Notamacropus eugenii: one gene and its partner. The protein of the gene in region 1 interacts with the protein of each later gene in a pairwise test. Links are inferred from orthologs where the notes say so. Each region holds a gene or a part of one and is shown in the gene's direction. Other genes may lie near its edges.

The links.
Region 2: the proteins of TLE5 (region 1) and NUDT22 interact in binary tests that used the Homo sapiens proteins (3 or more experiments, as listed by UniProt). The two-hybrid records come from large-scale screens. The link is inferred for Notamacropus eugenii from reciprocal best matches to the Homo sapiens genes TLE5 and NUDT22.

The regions. Positions count from the first base shown.
Region 1 is NC_092875.1:68,797,620-68,805,051, forward strand, and holds the start of TLE5 (TLE family member 5), read left to right. Parts: upstream 1-4,296; 5' UTR 4,297-4,457; coding exon 4,458-4,484; intron 4,485-5,134; coding exon 5,135-5,232; intron 5,233-7,104; coding exon 7,105-7,168; intron 7,169-7,432. UniProt on the Homo sapiens protein: Transcriptional corepressor. Acts as a dominant repressor towards other family members. Inhibits NF-kappa-B-regulated gene expression. May be required for the initiation and maintenance of the differentiated state.
Region 2 is NC_092873.1:17,062,096-17,069,654, forward strand, and holds the start of NUDT22 (uridine diphosphate glucose pyrophosphatase NUDT22), read left to right. Parts: upstream 1-4,513; 5' UTR 4,514-4,780; coding exon 4,781-5,260; intron 5,261-6,779; coding exon 6,780-6,878; intron 6,879-6,972; coding exon 6,973-7,070; intron 7,071-7,462; coding exon 7,463-7,556; intron 7,557-7,559. Other genes in the region: FERMT3 (fermitin family homolog 3), read left to right, coding at 518-659, 749-928; TRPT1 (tRNA 2'-phosphotransferase 1), read right to left, coding at 1,350-1,423, 1,586-1,696, 1,773-1,829, 1,915-2,089, 2,753-2,922, 3,484-3,565, 3,883-3,957. UniProt on the Homo sapiens protein: Hydrolyzes UDP-glucose to glucose 1-phosphate and UMP and UDP-galactose to galactose 1-phosphate and UMP. Preferred substrate is UDP-glucose.

The DNA.
Region 1 (7,432 bases):
CACATAGATCTGGTCATGCCACTCTGTTCAAAAATCTTCACTGACTCCCCCCACTCTTTAAAGGCAATCAGGGTTAAGTGACTTAACCAAGGTCACACAGCTAATAAGTGTCTGAGGCTACATTTGAATTCAGGTTCCCTTTACACCAGGGCTGATGATGCTCTATGCACTGGGCCTACTTAGATACCCAAGGAGTAAAATACAAATTTCTTTGCCTGCCACTCAGGGCCCTTCATGATCTGGTCAGCAGGTGCTCAGGTTACTCCTCTCCATGCACACAGCCAAAATGGACCAATATTCCTTTGCCTTCCCCATTTCTGCGCCTTTACTCATGGTACCCCTTCAGTAACAGGCTTTTCCCATTAGACTACACAGAAGGGTATTTTGTAACTTTCAAAGGCAGCAAGTCCATGGAGCTGGATAGATTTCAGGAGGTCTGTGAACTTGGATGGGAAAGAAATTACATCTTTATTATCTCTGACCTCTAACTAAAATTTAACATTTCTTTCAATTATTTAGAGACTTTCTTTTGAAAAGAGGTCCATAGGCTTCACCAGACTGCCAAAGGGGTCTAGGACCCACAGAAAAGAATTAAGAGCCCTGCTCCAAGGGATTTTTCATAGACCACTCTGTATTCTTATCTGAATGTCAGATCTTCTCACTAGACCATGAGGTTTTAAATTTGAGTCCATGAATTTGTTTTTTTTTAAATAGTAGGACAACTATTTCATTATAATTGGTTTCTTTGTAATCCTACATATTTTGTTTTATGTATTTACAAACATTATTCTGAAAAGGGGTCCGGTAAGTTTCACAAAAGTGCCAAAGCAATCAAAGACACAAATAAAGGTTTACCCCCTACCTAGACGTGAGGCCCAGAAGGGTTGGGACTCTGTCTTAGCTAAACTGCACGTCTGCACACAGTAAGACATTTAATATATGTTTATATAAACCACAGAAAAAGCTTTCCTCTTGCTGCCTAGAGTTTGCAGAAACCGGAGATAGGATGAAAAGGAAGAGGTGGGACTTGCGGACTTGGTCTGGTCCCTCCACTAGAATTCCCTGGATGATGAGCAGACTTAGAGGAAGGGAAAAAGGGAATCTGCTTGAGGTAAAGATCTCTTAGCTCAGGGAGGGAGGCAGAGACAGGAGCCTCCAACTGGAGTTCAAGGTGCAAAGAAGTTTAGAACAGGTTAAACAGAGAAAGCCCTCTGTCCTTGGGAAACTGAGGCAGGTCATGCGGCATCCCTCCCCTGTCAGGTTCCCTGAGTTGGGGCTCTGGGAGCCATTCTAGGCAGTATGCCACATTTGCTAATTTCTGATTAAAGGGTCTGCTCTGCTCCAAGCCAGCCCGGGACCCATCTATTAGCAGCCAGCCATAGTGGTGTCAGGGGGCTCCTGCCAGGAAGCCAATTTAATTTGTAACTGTGGGCCCAGGCAGACAGGAAAAAAAAAATCTGATAAAGGCTAAAGAGAGAGGTTTTTGGTCTCCTCCAACACAGGCCAAACCCCTTGTCTCTTAAGATATCTATTAGTGGGACCTACGGAAGGGGAGCTTCTGAGAATGAGCCCTAAACTTAAATTTTAGGGAGGAGAAACCAGACATAATGTCTGGAGTGGGAGGCAAGGTAAGTGTCCTGATGTATCCCTGTCTAGACCTGTTTACCTTATGCAAATCTCAGGACAGGCCCTAAAGCTAACCCTAATCTAACCCTAGTCTAATAAAGAGAGTGCTGCACACCCCCAGCAGAAGGACCTTCATCTAAATCTCTCTGATGTTCATGTCTTGAGCACAAGCAAATCAAATCCCTTTCCCATTCTGGACCTCACTGACTTTGTCTATAAAATGGGAGTGAAGCCTGTAGTATCTATTTCTCACCTGGTTGCTACTAAAGATCAAAGGAGATAATAGATGTGTGTTCAGTGCCTAAATATGAGTTATTATTATCCTTTCCCTCTCCTGGGACCCTATCTGTGAGAGGAGGGAGTTGGACCCTGCCTCCCAGCTCCAACATTCTGCGTTCTCAGGGCTTTATCAGCTCTAACTTTGTATTCTTTCCATAATCTAAGGTCTCTTCCAGCTCTAAGGCCCTGTTATATTCTTCATATTAACACTGGGAGACAAAAACTGCAACCTAGGGAGGGAGAAAGGATGGGGTGTCATGTAGGGAGCTGCCTGATCTAGGACGCAGGGCTTGGGGGATGTGCCTGAGACAGCCTAGGCTGAGAGTCTGGAGACCACATTCCCCCACTGCTAACTTTTATGTTGTGACCTTGGAGAAGTCCTTTCCCCTCTTTAAGGCTCGATGTGTGGTCTGTGAAAATGTGATACTAGAAAACCTGCAGGTCTCACGAACAAAGACACTGGGATGCCTGGATTCTACCCCAATCAGGAGATGGAGAGAGGGAAAGGAAAGGGCAGGGGGGCAAGGGGGATGGGAGAGAGGGTGGAGAGAAGGGAGGGAAAGGGAGGGGAGACAGGAGATGGTGAGACAGGGAGAGGAGGAGAGGGAGGGAGAGGAGAGAGGGAGGGGGAGGGAGGAAGGGGAGGGGGAGGAGAGAGGGAGAGGGAGGGAGGAAGGGGAGGGGGAGGGAGGAAGGGGAGGGAGAGGAGGGGGGGGAGAGGAGAGGGAGGGGAGAGGAGAGGGGGGAAGGAGAGGAGAGGGGGGAGGGAGAGGAGAGGGGGGAGAGAAGGGAGGGAAAGGGAGGGGAGACAGGAGACGGTGAGACAGGGAGAGGAGGAGAGGTAGGGAGAGGAGAGAGGGAGGAGGAGGGAGGAAGGGGAGGGGGAGGAGAGAGGGAGGGGGAGGGAGGAAGGGGAGAGGGAGGGAGGAAGGGGAGGGGGAGGGAGGAAGGGGAGGGAGAGGAGAGGGGGAGGAGAGGAGAGGGAGGGGAGAGGAGAGGGGGGAGGGAGAGGAGAGGGGGGAGAGAAGGGAGGGAGGGGGAGGGAGGAAGGGGAGAGGGAGGGAGGAAGGGGAGGGAGAGGAGAGAGGGAGGGGGAGGGAGGAAGGGGAGGGAGAGGAGAGAGGGACGGGGAGGGAGGAAGGGGAGGGAGAGGGAGGAAGGGGAGGAGGAGGGAGGAAGGGGAGGGAGAGGAGAGGGGGGAGGGAGAGGAGAGGGGGGAGAGAAGGGAGGGAAAGGGAGGGGAGACAGGAGACGGTGAGACAGGGAGAGGAGGAGAGGTAGGGAGAGGAGAGAGGGAGGGGGAGGGAGGAAGGGGAGGGGGAGGAGAGAGGGAGGGGGAGGGAGGAAGGGGAGAGGGAGGGAGGAAGGGGAGGGGGAGGGAGGAAGGGGAGGGAGAGGAGAGGGGGGGGAGAGGAGAGGGAGGGGAGAGGAGAGGGGGGAGGGAGAGGAGAGGGGGGAGAGAAGGGAGGGAAAGGGAGGGGAGACAGGAGACGGTGAGACAGGGAGAGGAGGAGAGGGAGGGAGAGGAGAGAGGGAGGGGGAGGGAGGAAGGGGAGAGGGAGGGAGGAAGGGGAGGGAGAGGAGAGAGGGAGGGGGAGGGAGGAAGGGGAGGGAGAGGAGAGAGGGACGGGGAGGGAGGAAGGGGAGGGAGAGGAGAGAGGGACGGGGAGGGAGGAAGGGGAGGGGGAGGGAGGAAGGGGAGGGGGAGGGAGGAAGGGGAGGGGGAGGGGAAGCCGGCTCCGAATGAGGTCAGGGAAGGGGAGGGAAGGGAGGCGGGGAGAACGCTGCGAGTGTGGGCAGGAGGGTGGGGGCGGGGTGAGAACGAGGCCTGGGCGTCCGAGGCCGCGGGGGGCGCGTGGGGGAGCAGAGAACCTGGCACCCCGGGGTTAGGGAAGAGGCGGCGGCGGCGGCTCGAGGACCTGGGGCCCGGGCTGGAGCCGGGGCCGGGGCCGGAGCCGAGGCCCGAGCGCGGGCGCGGGGCGGCGGGGCCGCGGAGCTCGGCGGCGGGGGCGCGCCCCTCCGCGCACGCGCCCTCCGCGCACGCGCACGCGCCCCCTCCCCGCGCGCGCGCCCCAGTGCAGGCCGCGGGCTCGGCGGCAGCAGGTGGTGCTGCTGGTGCTCGGCTGAGGCCGGAGCCGGACCGAGGGAGCCGAGGCCGGAGCTGCTGCTGCCGCTGCTGCCGCAGCCCCCCTCCCCCGCGCCCCCGCCCCCGGCCGCCGGCGGCCGCCATTAGACAATAGGAGCGGCAGCCCGGGAGGGCCGCAGGAGGCAGGAAGCGGCCCGGAGCGGGAGCGGGCCCGGCGGCGGAGGGCGGGCGGCCCGGAGGAGGCGGCGGGAGGCCGGGGCGCGCTGCGGCGGCGCTGAGCGGCGGCGCCGGGGCGGGGACAAAGGCGGCGGCGGCGGCCGGGGCCGAGGAGTCGGGCCGGGGCCGGAGCGGGCCCGCGGCGGGGAGGAGGCGGCGGCGGGGGCGTCGTCGTTGGTGCGGCGGCCTCTGCCTTCCCTCGGCCCGCAGCCCTCCCCCCTCCCCTCACTGCCCGCCCCCCACGAGTGACATGATGTTTCCACAAAGCAGGCACTCGGTAAGGGGGCGGGGGAGCGGCGGAGATCGGCGCGGCGGGGGGGCTGGGGTGGGGCCGCCCCCTGGGGCCCCGCTGCTTCCTCGGCTGCGCCCCTTTAAAATGCGACCCCCGGTGGTAACGTCGCCACCCCCCTCGTGACGATTCCCCGGCCCCTTCTCTGGCTTCTAATCCCCCTTCCGGGGCCCCGCGGGGAAGTGGGGGGCCCAGGGATGGAGGGGGGACGGTCTGCGATCGGGAAAAAAAGGCTTGATTTTTTTCATTCTAAAACAATGATGGGGCGGCCCTGCTGCAATAACCCCCCCTCCATGTGCATGGCCCTGTGGGGGGGAGCAGGAAATGGGGGGGCGGGAGCTGAGTATGTAAACATCAGCCCTGTCGGGGCAGGCCGGGCCCAGGAAGTGCCCTGAGGAGGAGAGGATGAGGATGGTGGGAGCAGCCCGGAGGGAGGCTGGGCTGGAGGAGGGGGCTCCCACCGTGTGCCCCCCCCAAGCCAATCCCATCCTTTCCTCAGGCCCCGGGGAGAGAGGTTCTGCCTGGGGAATGCTCAGATTCCTGAACAGTCTTCTGGCCGAACCTGGACTCCAGCCTCCCCCACATGGCCGGGGTGGGGGGAGGCTGTGCCCTAACCTTCCCTGTTAACCTTCCTCAAGGGCTCCTCACACCTGCCCCAGCAGCTAAAGTTCACGACCTCAGATTCCTGTGACCGGATCAAAGATGAATTTCAGCTCCTACAAGCACAGTACCACAGGTGAGCCCCCTTGGGGAGCCCGGGACTGCCGGGGTACCCTGCTCTCCTCCCCTCCCTGCCTAAGCAGAACCCTGTGCTAGGATCCCAAGAGGAGGCCAACACCTTGAGTGTGTGTGACCTTGGCCGAGTCCTGTCTCCGAGCTTGGGCTTCCCCATTTCTGGGGGTACGCACTAGGTGACCACCAGAAGTCTTTCCCGATTCTAGGATTTGAATTTATTGATAGGGAACCCAGATTTTTTATTTAGCTCTAACAGCATCTCCTTTGTGACCTTGGTGAATCTCTTCCACCTCCCTGGCGGCAGTTGCCTCATTTAATAGATTCAGAACTTAGAAGCCATCTCGCCTGACCCCCTTCTCACTTTTACAGAGATGAAGCCTGTGGCTAAATGACTTGCCCACAGTCATGTAGAGTAACAGAGTAGGAATCTGAGCCTAGGTCCTTCTCTGCCTCTTCCTGGCGACTCCCTTGTAAGGTCCCTGGCCATTGTGTAGAACATTATATAAATATGAAATGTTGCTATTCTTAGAACCGGCTGCCTGGGGATGGCTCTCCTATCTGACCCAAACCTTCCTTGCTTTCCAAGGCTGGCGGGAGTGAATGCCCCCTGAGCTGACCTTTCTGCTACCCCCATCAGTCCCAGGCTCACGCCTCAGTTCCACTTGAGATCTCCCCTCCCTTTCCACTCCCAGGCCTGACCTCATCTTCTGGCCCACCTTTTGTGCAGCAGCTTGCCTATGAGTCTAGGGACATCAGGGCCTTGTTTGTAGGGAAGGAAGGTGGAGACAGTGGGCTTTGGGATGTCCTAGGCAGGAAATAGGATGAGTCCCTGAGGTGGAAAAATGGGGCTGGGGTAGAGTATGAGTTCAGCTTCCCTTTTCCAGGAGGTCTGATGTTCAAGGTCTGTGGCCTTGCACAAGCTCCTCCCTTCCTAGGCCTTATTTTCCCCATCTTTTAGATGGAGGTGGTATAATAATCTTTATACCCCCTCCTTTTTGGGTTGAGAAAAGCATTTTGGAGACCTGAAAGCATTAGAGAAATGAAATAATTATGATTAACCATACTTCCCCTCCCCCCACCCCTGGTTATGCCAAATTGGGTCGGGCCAGAACTGAAGATGTCTCCCTGCTGGCTTCTAGAATCACCTGGTTTATTGAATTTAAGTAGATTAACCAATAGAAGGCTGCCCTCTCCCCATTTTTATTACCAGGAAATTGATGAGGGGTTATTATTTTCCAGAAGGGTAATAGAATTTCTTTCCTTCCTTCTGTTAAAAAAATTTTTGGGGAGGGGGTAAGATGTGGCTTTCCCAACACAGCAGTGTCCTACTGCCTGCTCTAGCTTCCTCTCCTCTCTTCCCCCCAAGGCCAAGAATTATGGCCCTCTAGAGCCTGGGAGGGGCCCCCAGAGACTGGGCTTGTTTATTGCACCGGATAACATGGAAATGAGGCTTTTTTGATTTCTAAATAAAGAAATGGGAGGGCCTGGGCTGGGGAGTGAGGGTCCCCCGGGCCCCTGTAGGAGGGGTTGCTGCTTCCCTCCCATCTACTTGAGCATCAGGTGCTTTTGAGCTCAGGAACCCATCTCTGATGCCAGGAAAGCCTTCAGAGGCTTGGCCTGCTGTTGTTCTCCTGCTGGAGATCCAATAGATCCTTGGCTCAGACCCCACTGGCTTGTGGGGGGTTTCTCCTTCCCCTTTCCCTTGCCCACATTCTGAATTCACTCTAAGTTTCTCCAGACCCCATGAAGTGCTTTGTAAACCAGTAAGACACTTTATAAACAGGAGGCCTGCTTTGCAAACCATTGTAGATCAGGGAGTGCTTTGTAAATGGCGCCCACAGACAGGCCTCCTCCTGTTTTTCTCTTTCCAAAGCCTGAAACTGGAGTGTGACAAGCTGGCCAGTGAGAAGTCGGAGATGCAGCGTCACTACGTCATGGTATGTCCCAGGCCCCCCTACTCCCTGCAGAACTAGTGTCATTCCCTCTGCCCCCCTTTCAGGTGAGGTCAGGAGCAGGGCGACATTCGAGGCCCACACTCGTGGCTGCGGCAGTGGTAGAAACATATGTTTTTGATTTTCAGTTAGAGCTTCCAGGGGAGGATTTCAGAGGCCCCAGGCCCAGCACAACAAAGGCAACTTTTGGAGATTTAGTCCTCAGCCACCTACCTGGGGAGCCTCCCACCTCTGCCCCCAGAAAGGCAC
Region 2 (7,559 bases), on another chromosome or scaffold:
AACTTGGTTAAACTAGAGGACTTCCAAAGAGGATCAGCTAGAGTTAAGGGCCTTGAGATGACACTAGGGCTCAGCTGAAGGAACTGAGTGTTGAGCCTGGAGAAGCGTGGGGGTGAGGGGATATCCCAACTGTCTTCAGGTATCTGCTGGGGTTTAATATGTGGAAGAGGAGTCAGAAGGCAATGTTAAAGACAAAGTAATGTGGCTTCAACGGTGTGGGACATGGGGGAGGGGAGACTTCCAACCCAAAGTATCTGAAAGTAGCCTGACTGTCTGGAGAGGTAGTGAGCTCCCCATCCCTGGAGGTCTTCAAGAGGACATGGGACAACTGTTAGTCAGGGAGGCGATTCTTACTCTGATACAGGTTGGGCCAGATGATAAGGTCCCCTCCAACCCGGAGGGTCTGTGATCTTGTCTCAAGGGACCTCCTCCCCCTCCTCTGATGAGTCCTTGGAAGGGGCCTTCCTCCCCCAGCTGGACACTGAGAGAGCTCCTTCCCCCCTTCCCACACCCTCAGGTTTAAGGGTAGCAGGAAGGATGAGATCCTGGGCATTGCCAACAATCGCCTGATCCGCATCGACCTGGCCGTGGGTGATGTCATGAAGACTTGGCGATTCAGCAACATGCGCCAGTGGAATGTCAACTGGGACATCCGCCAGGTGGGAAGGGGGCTGAGGGATGGAGGGGCCACACTGGCTGCTGCCCTGCTCTCTCTGCTCCCAATCACACGTTGGGGTCTGGCCCGCAGGTGGCCATTGAATTTGACGAGCACATCAACGTAGCCTTCAGCTGTGTGTCCGCCGGCTGCCGAATCCTGCATGAGTACATCGGTGGCTACATTTTCCTGTCCACCCGGGAGCGCGCCCGAGGCGAGGAACTGGATGAGGAACTCTTCCTGCAGCTCACAGGGGGTCATGAAGCCTTCTGAGACGCCCAGAGGGCCTTCTCCATCCCCCACTGTCTCTCACTGTCACTGGCTCTCTCACAACAGCTTCCCCTCACCCCATTTACCCTCTCCCCCAACACACACACTGTAACCATCACTCCTGGTGCCCTCTTGGGGAGGCCAAGCCTCGCCCCATGTCTTGTTCCTCCCCACCAGGGGCTACCCAAAGGCTGCTCATCCCTGCCTAGGGTGTTGGTGTTCTCTTGCTCTACAAATGACTGAGGCAAGCTGAGGGCCCCAGGATCCAACTGCCTTCTGACTGCCACACTCCAGGGCAATCTTTGGACTCGGGACTGCAGAGATGCTGCGATACAGCCCTAGAAAGATTTGCTTTGTTTGTTAGTTTTTATTTGTCTTTTTATAAATAAATATTTCCTACTTGGACACTCCCCATATTTCTTCTTCAGCTGTTGGTTGAGGCACCCTGGTGACTGCTCTGACCCTCTGTCTCCTCTTCAGCCAGAGAAAGAGGCCTCCCTGCAGCAGGGAAAGGGTTAGGATAAGGAGAGGGGAGATGATGCTCAGGGTGGGAAATGGAGGTGGTGGAAGCAGGCAGAAAGGAGTCTGAGATCAACAGGCCATGGCCCACCCTCAGAGCCTGGCTTAGGGACCTGGAAATCCAAAGAGGAGGGCACTCACTTGGAGAGCCCAGCTGTAGGGCTTCTTTGAAGTACTTGGGAAGCAAGAAACCCTTGGCATCCCCCGGAGTCAGGATCACCCCATTGGCTGAGCGGAAGAACAGGATTCCCTCTGTGGGGAAGGGTCAGACTTCAGGCTGTGTCCTCCTGCCCTCTCCCCCATCCTCCTCCTGGCCAGCCAAACTCACCGGCCAGTGCCAAGGGTCCATTGATGAATACGGCCACCTCACAGTCCTGCCGCATGCCTAAGGGACAGAGTCACAAGTGGCACCAAGGCACCCCGGGATTCTCCCAATGCTCTGGGAAGGGGTTGGAGTATGGTCTACTAACCACTGAGGACATGGGGTTCTCCAGGCAGGCCGGGGGACAGGTGAATGTGGGTTCTCCCACGACGAGACAGACCCTCCTGCCGGATGGAGGGCCAGTGGCGCCGGTACGTTCCATGGACAAGAATGGGAGGTAGGTCTTGTGGGGTTCTTAGGGGTGTCAGCTCCAGGTCAGTCACCTGCCATGAGGAACAATGAGGGGGTCGCTTCAAAATCTGGGGGTAGCCCTTATCCTCCCTAATTTAACTACCACCTTTTCCTTGAAACAGTCCTGGGAAATACATAGTATGGGAATTATAGCTGTCACTTTACAGACAAGGAAACTGAGGCAGAGACACTTTCCCAACTTCACAAAGTGAGGAAAGTCTTTGAGCTAAGATTCGATCCTAGATCAGAGATTTAGAGCTAGAGAGGGCCTGAAAATCCACTGAGTCCAACCTCCTGTTTTTGCAAGAGAGGAAACTAAGGCACAGAGAGTTAAGGGAGTGCCCAGAGTCACACAGTTACAAGAAACATCATTCTGGTCCTTCTGACTCCAAGTCTAGAACCTACTGGGAGCAAAGCCCTGAGAGCCCTGAACCAGACAGTGGGACAGCAAAGACAGGGAGCCTCCATTCTCCCGGACAGATTCTCTCCACTCCCCCCGTGCTCTCTCCTGCCCCTTCACTCCATCTCCCTCTTCCCCTGCATCCCCCCACATCCAATCCACCTCCTAAGTGCTCACACACAGACGCACACACAGACACACACACACATACACACATCCAATCTGCCCCCTATGTGTGCACACACGCACACACACATGCAAGCAAACACACAAGCCCCCAAGGCTGAGTATCTACCTGCAAGGAGTGACCCTGGTTGGCTCGAATAAAGCCCCAGGAGCCTGGGGGCCCAGGGTGCCAGGCAAACCTCTGCTTTTCATTGGTTTCCACCACACGGTGCACATCATCCAGTGAGAAGCCCTGGAACTGTGGCAGCTGCAGAAGGGCATCCAGGGGCACAAAGCCGTCTGTGAGGGAAGAATACAAGTCCCATCTCTTGCCCAGAACTGGGCCCACACTTGATCCATCCACATTTATTAAGCACTGTGGGCACACAGAAGGCATCTGATGAATGCTCAGCTGTCCACCCCTCCTCCCAGCTGACCCATCAGGGCACTGTAACTGGCCAAGTTGGGGACAGGCTGCAGAGGCTGAGGAGGGGGTTTAGAGTAGGCCTTTCCTGCACTCACTGACACTTATGTAACTTTCTACAGAGCATCTCCTGCTCGGCCTCTCATCTAACCCTCCCAGCAGCCCTGGGGATGGGAGCTAACACAGGAGGAAACTGAGGCTAAGTCATTTGCCCAGTCACCCCGTCACCCAGTGTCTAAAGGCAGGATTTGAGTGGAAATCTTGGCTTCTGATCTAAACCCTTGCCACCTATGCAATCTCTGTTCCCCTTGTAGGGCAGCAGGATTCATTCCATTGATAGCCTGTGTCATTATGGCTCCTGTGGGGGCACCACCACCTCCTAGGCCTCCCTCTGACCCTGAGGCTTCTGCCACAGCCTTCTCATGCTCAAGGCTTACCTGAGCCAATGGGCAGCCCCATCTTAACAGCTCCATGACGCAGGGCATAGGACAGAGCCTTGGATAGCCGTACATCTGGGTCCTGCAACAGCCCAAATGCCAACAAAGTTTCTTCCTTTTTCCACCAAAGGTGCCCAAACCCTCCTGCTCCCCAAAAAGCCTGCTGGATAGCAGTCACTGTGGAAAGACCCCTCCCCTGATGTGCCCCAGAGCTGGGGGGGAGGGGAAGTGTCCATCAGTCCTTGAACCTGTAGGCCCCCCAGGGCAGGCCTGTTGGACTAGCTGCTCTGGCTCTGAGAATCTTAGCCCCCCCACCCCCACCCTGCCTTTGGGCAGAGAAGCCACTTCCACCAACTGCTCTCTTCAGTTCAGCCACCAGTGGAGTCCATGGGCTGTCACCTGTTCTCGGGGTCTGCGGGCTCTTCTTCCCCTGGGCCCAGCTTGCTGGGAGGTCTGTCCCACAGAGGGGTTCATGCCCCTCACTCTTCCAGGAACCTAGGAACACAGGATTTAGAGCTATGAGATAATATATGAGATATATACTACCTGGTCTGTCTACCTCATTTAACAGAACAGGAAACTGAGACCCAGAAAGTGAAAGAAAATTGTCCAAAGTCACAGAGGTCATCTGGGGCACAGCCAAGACTCAGAGACCAAGATTAGGACTCCCAATACAAGGTATTTTCAGCTCTATCCCATACCAGGGCTGAAGGGAGAGATGGGGGGCTGCCCTCTCCCCATTCCCGTTGCAACCTGGCTGTGAGTTGGGGGAACCCTGGGCAGGGTAGAACTGAGGCTAGGGCAGAGACCCCAGAGATCAGAAAGGCAACAGGGCCCAGTGCCCCCAGGGCTTCAGTTTCCCCATCTAGAAAGGGGGGGGTGGCGTGGAACAGATCATCCCCAAGGGCCTGGAAATCTAGTAGGGGCCAATCCTCACCAGCCCCGCCAAGTGCCTGCCCACCGGATCTGGGCAGGGAGTGAGCCAATGAGGGATGGGGGACGCAAGGAGTGAGGCTCTCCTTCCGCTCTCGTTAAGGGAGGGGAGGAGCTAGACCCAGCTGAGCTGGAGGCAGGAAGCGGGGCAACGGTAACTGTAACAGCGATTGTAACCGTAGCGGCAGCAGCCACGACTGCGAGCTGCACACAGAGTCAGTGCTGGACTGAGGCTAGGGACATCCAGGGACACCACCAAAGGCCGGCAGTTGGCAGGAGATGCCCTGCAGGGCAGTGGTAACTCTGCCTCATTTCCCTCATCCAGACCTTGCATTCCCACCACCAGCCTCGTCCCCTCCATTCTATGGATCCCGAGGTCTCCCTGCTTGTCCAATGCCCACCGGGCGGGCTGGCTGAAGAGCAGGTACGGGCAGAGTTGAACCCAGCTTATGACCGGCGCCCACTGCCCGGGGGGGAGGACTCCATCACTGCCATTTGGGATGCCCGCCGGCAGGCCCAGCCCTGGCTCTTCAACGCTCCCAAGTTTCGACTGCACTCGGCAGTCCTGGGGCCCCCTGACCCTGGAGGACCCTGTCTGACGCTGCGTATGGGCCTCACTTCCTACCAGGACTTCCTAGGCACCAACTGGGCTAGCTCGGCAAGCAGGCTGCGATGCCAGGGGAAAACTGACTGGGGAGATGCCCAGGCCTACTTAGCAGACCCACTGGGAGTGGGTGCCATGCTGGGCACTTCAGATGGTTTCCTGGTCTTTCTTCGCCGGTCTCTGAGGGTGGCTGAGGCCCCTGGGCTGATAGATGTGCCAGGGGGGCATCCTGAACCTCAGGTGAGCACCTACATCCTGAAGAGTCAGGCAAAGATAGCCACTGGCCTTCTAGAGCCCAAACAAGCCAGGAACTAGAAGTCTTTCAGTTGAGGAAACTGAGGCAGACAGGGTCACACACATAGTAAGTATTTGAGGCAAGATTTGAACTCAGATCTTCCTGACTTCAAGCCCAATGTGCCCCCTTGCTGCCCACCAGAGGAGTTTCTATTTGATACTTTTGGTAATAGGGAGCTGTTGAAAGTTACTGAGAACAGGATGGGGGCATCATGACCAGACCTGGGTTTTCAGAAAATCCCTTTGGTGACTGAGTGGAGGATGGGTTGGAGTGGCAAAAGGCTTGAGGCAGACAAACACCCCACCCCACAGCAGCTACTGCAATAGTCCAGGGGTGAGGTGGTGGGATGGTGAGAGTCAACACTACGGTGATAACGCTATGTAAACAGAGAGAGCGGGGAAGGTTGTAAGAGAGACTGTGGAGGAAGAAACAGAATTTAGCAATTGGTTAGCTATTTGGATTTGGGGTGAGAATGAGGAGTGTCATAGATGACCCACGAGGCTCCTGAACCTGGATAACTTAAAAGATGTTGGTGACTCAGCAAAAACAGGGAAGTGGAGGCGGTAAGTATGTCTTAAATCCCTACTGTGTGCTGGGCACTGAGCCAACAAGTATTTCTTAAATGACTACTGTGTGCTAGGCACCATGCTAAGTGGTAGGTCTAGAGGAGTGATGAGTTCCATTCTGGGGATGTTGCATCTACTGGCTAAGGGGCATTCACTCAAATGTCCAATGAGGGACCAGAGGGCTGGAGAGCGGCTAGGGTGAGTGATGAACTTCAAAGAAGGGGAGAACAGAATGTGTTCAGTGGAGAAAGGAGGAGCGATCTAGGACTGTGACTAGCAGGGCTGGGGGGATCTGAGGAAGGTTTTGGAAGGAGAGCAGCCCCTGGGGAGGTGTGCAGGCAGCCACGGAGCGGGGAGAGTAGCCATGAGGCACGGTTGCCTCGCTCACAATTGGCTCTTTTGACCTGTTCATGTGTTTATCCGTTTTGCTGAGCTGATGATTTTTCTTCTTTATTTGATGAGTCTATGGCTAAAGAGCTGAGGTCAGAGGAGAGAAGAGCCCTCCTGGCTGTGTGGAGCTCTAGGCAGCTCTCTGAGACTTAGTGGCCTGCATTGCCTGCAAGAGCTTCTTCAACCAGGAAATCCCAGGTCCATTCTCTATCCCTTTGATTCTTTGTTGCCAGAAACCAATGGCTTATGAGGGAGTTATGTGAAAAGGAAGGGTGTGTGAAACGCAAAGTCAAAGCCAGGCCTAGAGCCTCAGGTCTCCTGGTCTCTAGAGCTTGTCTCTTTTCTGGTCAGCCTGTTGCCCTTCCTCTGATGTGCTTCAGTGGGGCTGGGACAAAGGGAGTAGAGCAAGGCCGGGTCCACCTGGCAAGTCTTCTTGGAGCTGCGGACTTCAGCCTGAGAGGCTAGGCTGCCCTGGGGAGGGGAGCGAGCTGAGGCTGCCTCCTTGTAGGCCCTGTTTCCTGGGGAGATGCCCCGGCACGAGGATCTGCCCGAGGACCTGCTGGTTCCGGAGCTGTTCTCCTCCATCTTGCAGGAGATCCGAGATGAGGTGAGGTGCTGAGCCTGGGGCTGGGAGGATGTGGAGAGTGGGGAGAGCAGGAGCTGAGGCAATGACCCCTGACCTCCGACTCTACCCCCACCAGGTAAATGTGCCACTATCCACTTTGAGCCATCCCCTCCTTCTGGGCATTGCCCGAAATGAGACCAGTGCAGGAAGAGCCAGTGCTGAATTCTATGTCAGGTAAGTGGACATCATATGGGGAACTGTGCTTCCTTCTTCTGAGGGACAGAATTAGAAGTAGGAATAGGCAAACTAGGGAGGGGATCAGGGCACAAACATTTTAAAATGTGACTTTTTTTAGAAGGTCTTATTTTTAATACAACCAAATCCTGCTGTGTGTGAACTACCAGGCTTTCTTCTGCCATCAGCCAGATTCCACTTTTCAGGGAAAGCTTGATGTCCCTAGGGGCACAGCATCATAGAAGGGCTCTTCTAGGAGAGGCCTGAAGTCCTGGGCTTGGAAAATTGAGATCTGGGCACCTGGAGCCTCAGGGCAGGATGGAGCTTGGGACCCCTGGCCAGAGTGGGTCTGCCCTTCTCCCAGAAGCTTGTCTCTCCCCCTCCTCCTTTAGCTGTAGCCTGACCTCTGAGCAGGTGAAGACCCTCTATATGACCGGAGGACCGGAAGCTCATGAGTCCACTGGAATCATCTTCATGGAAACGCAGGTG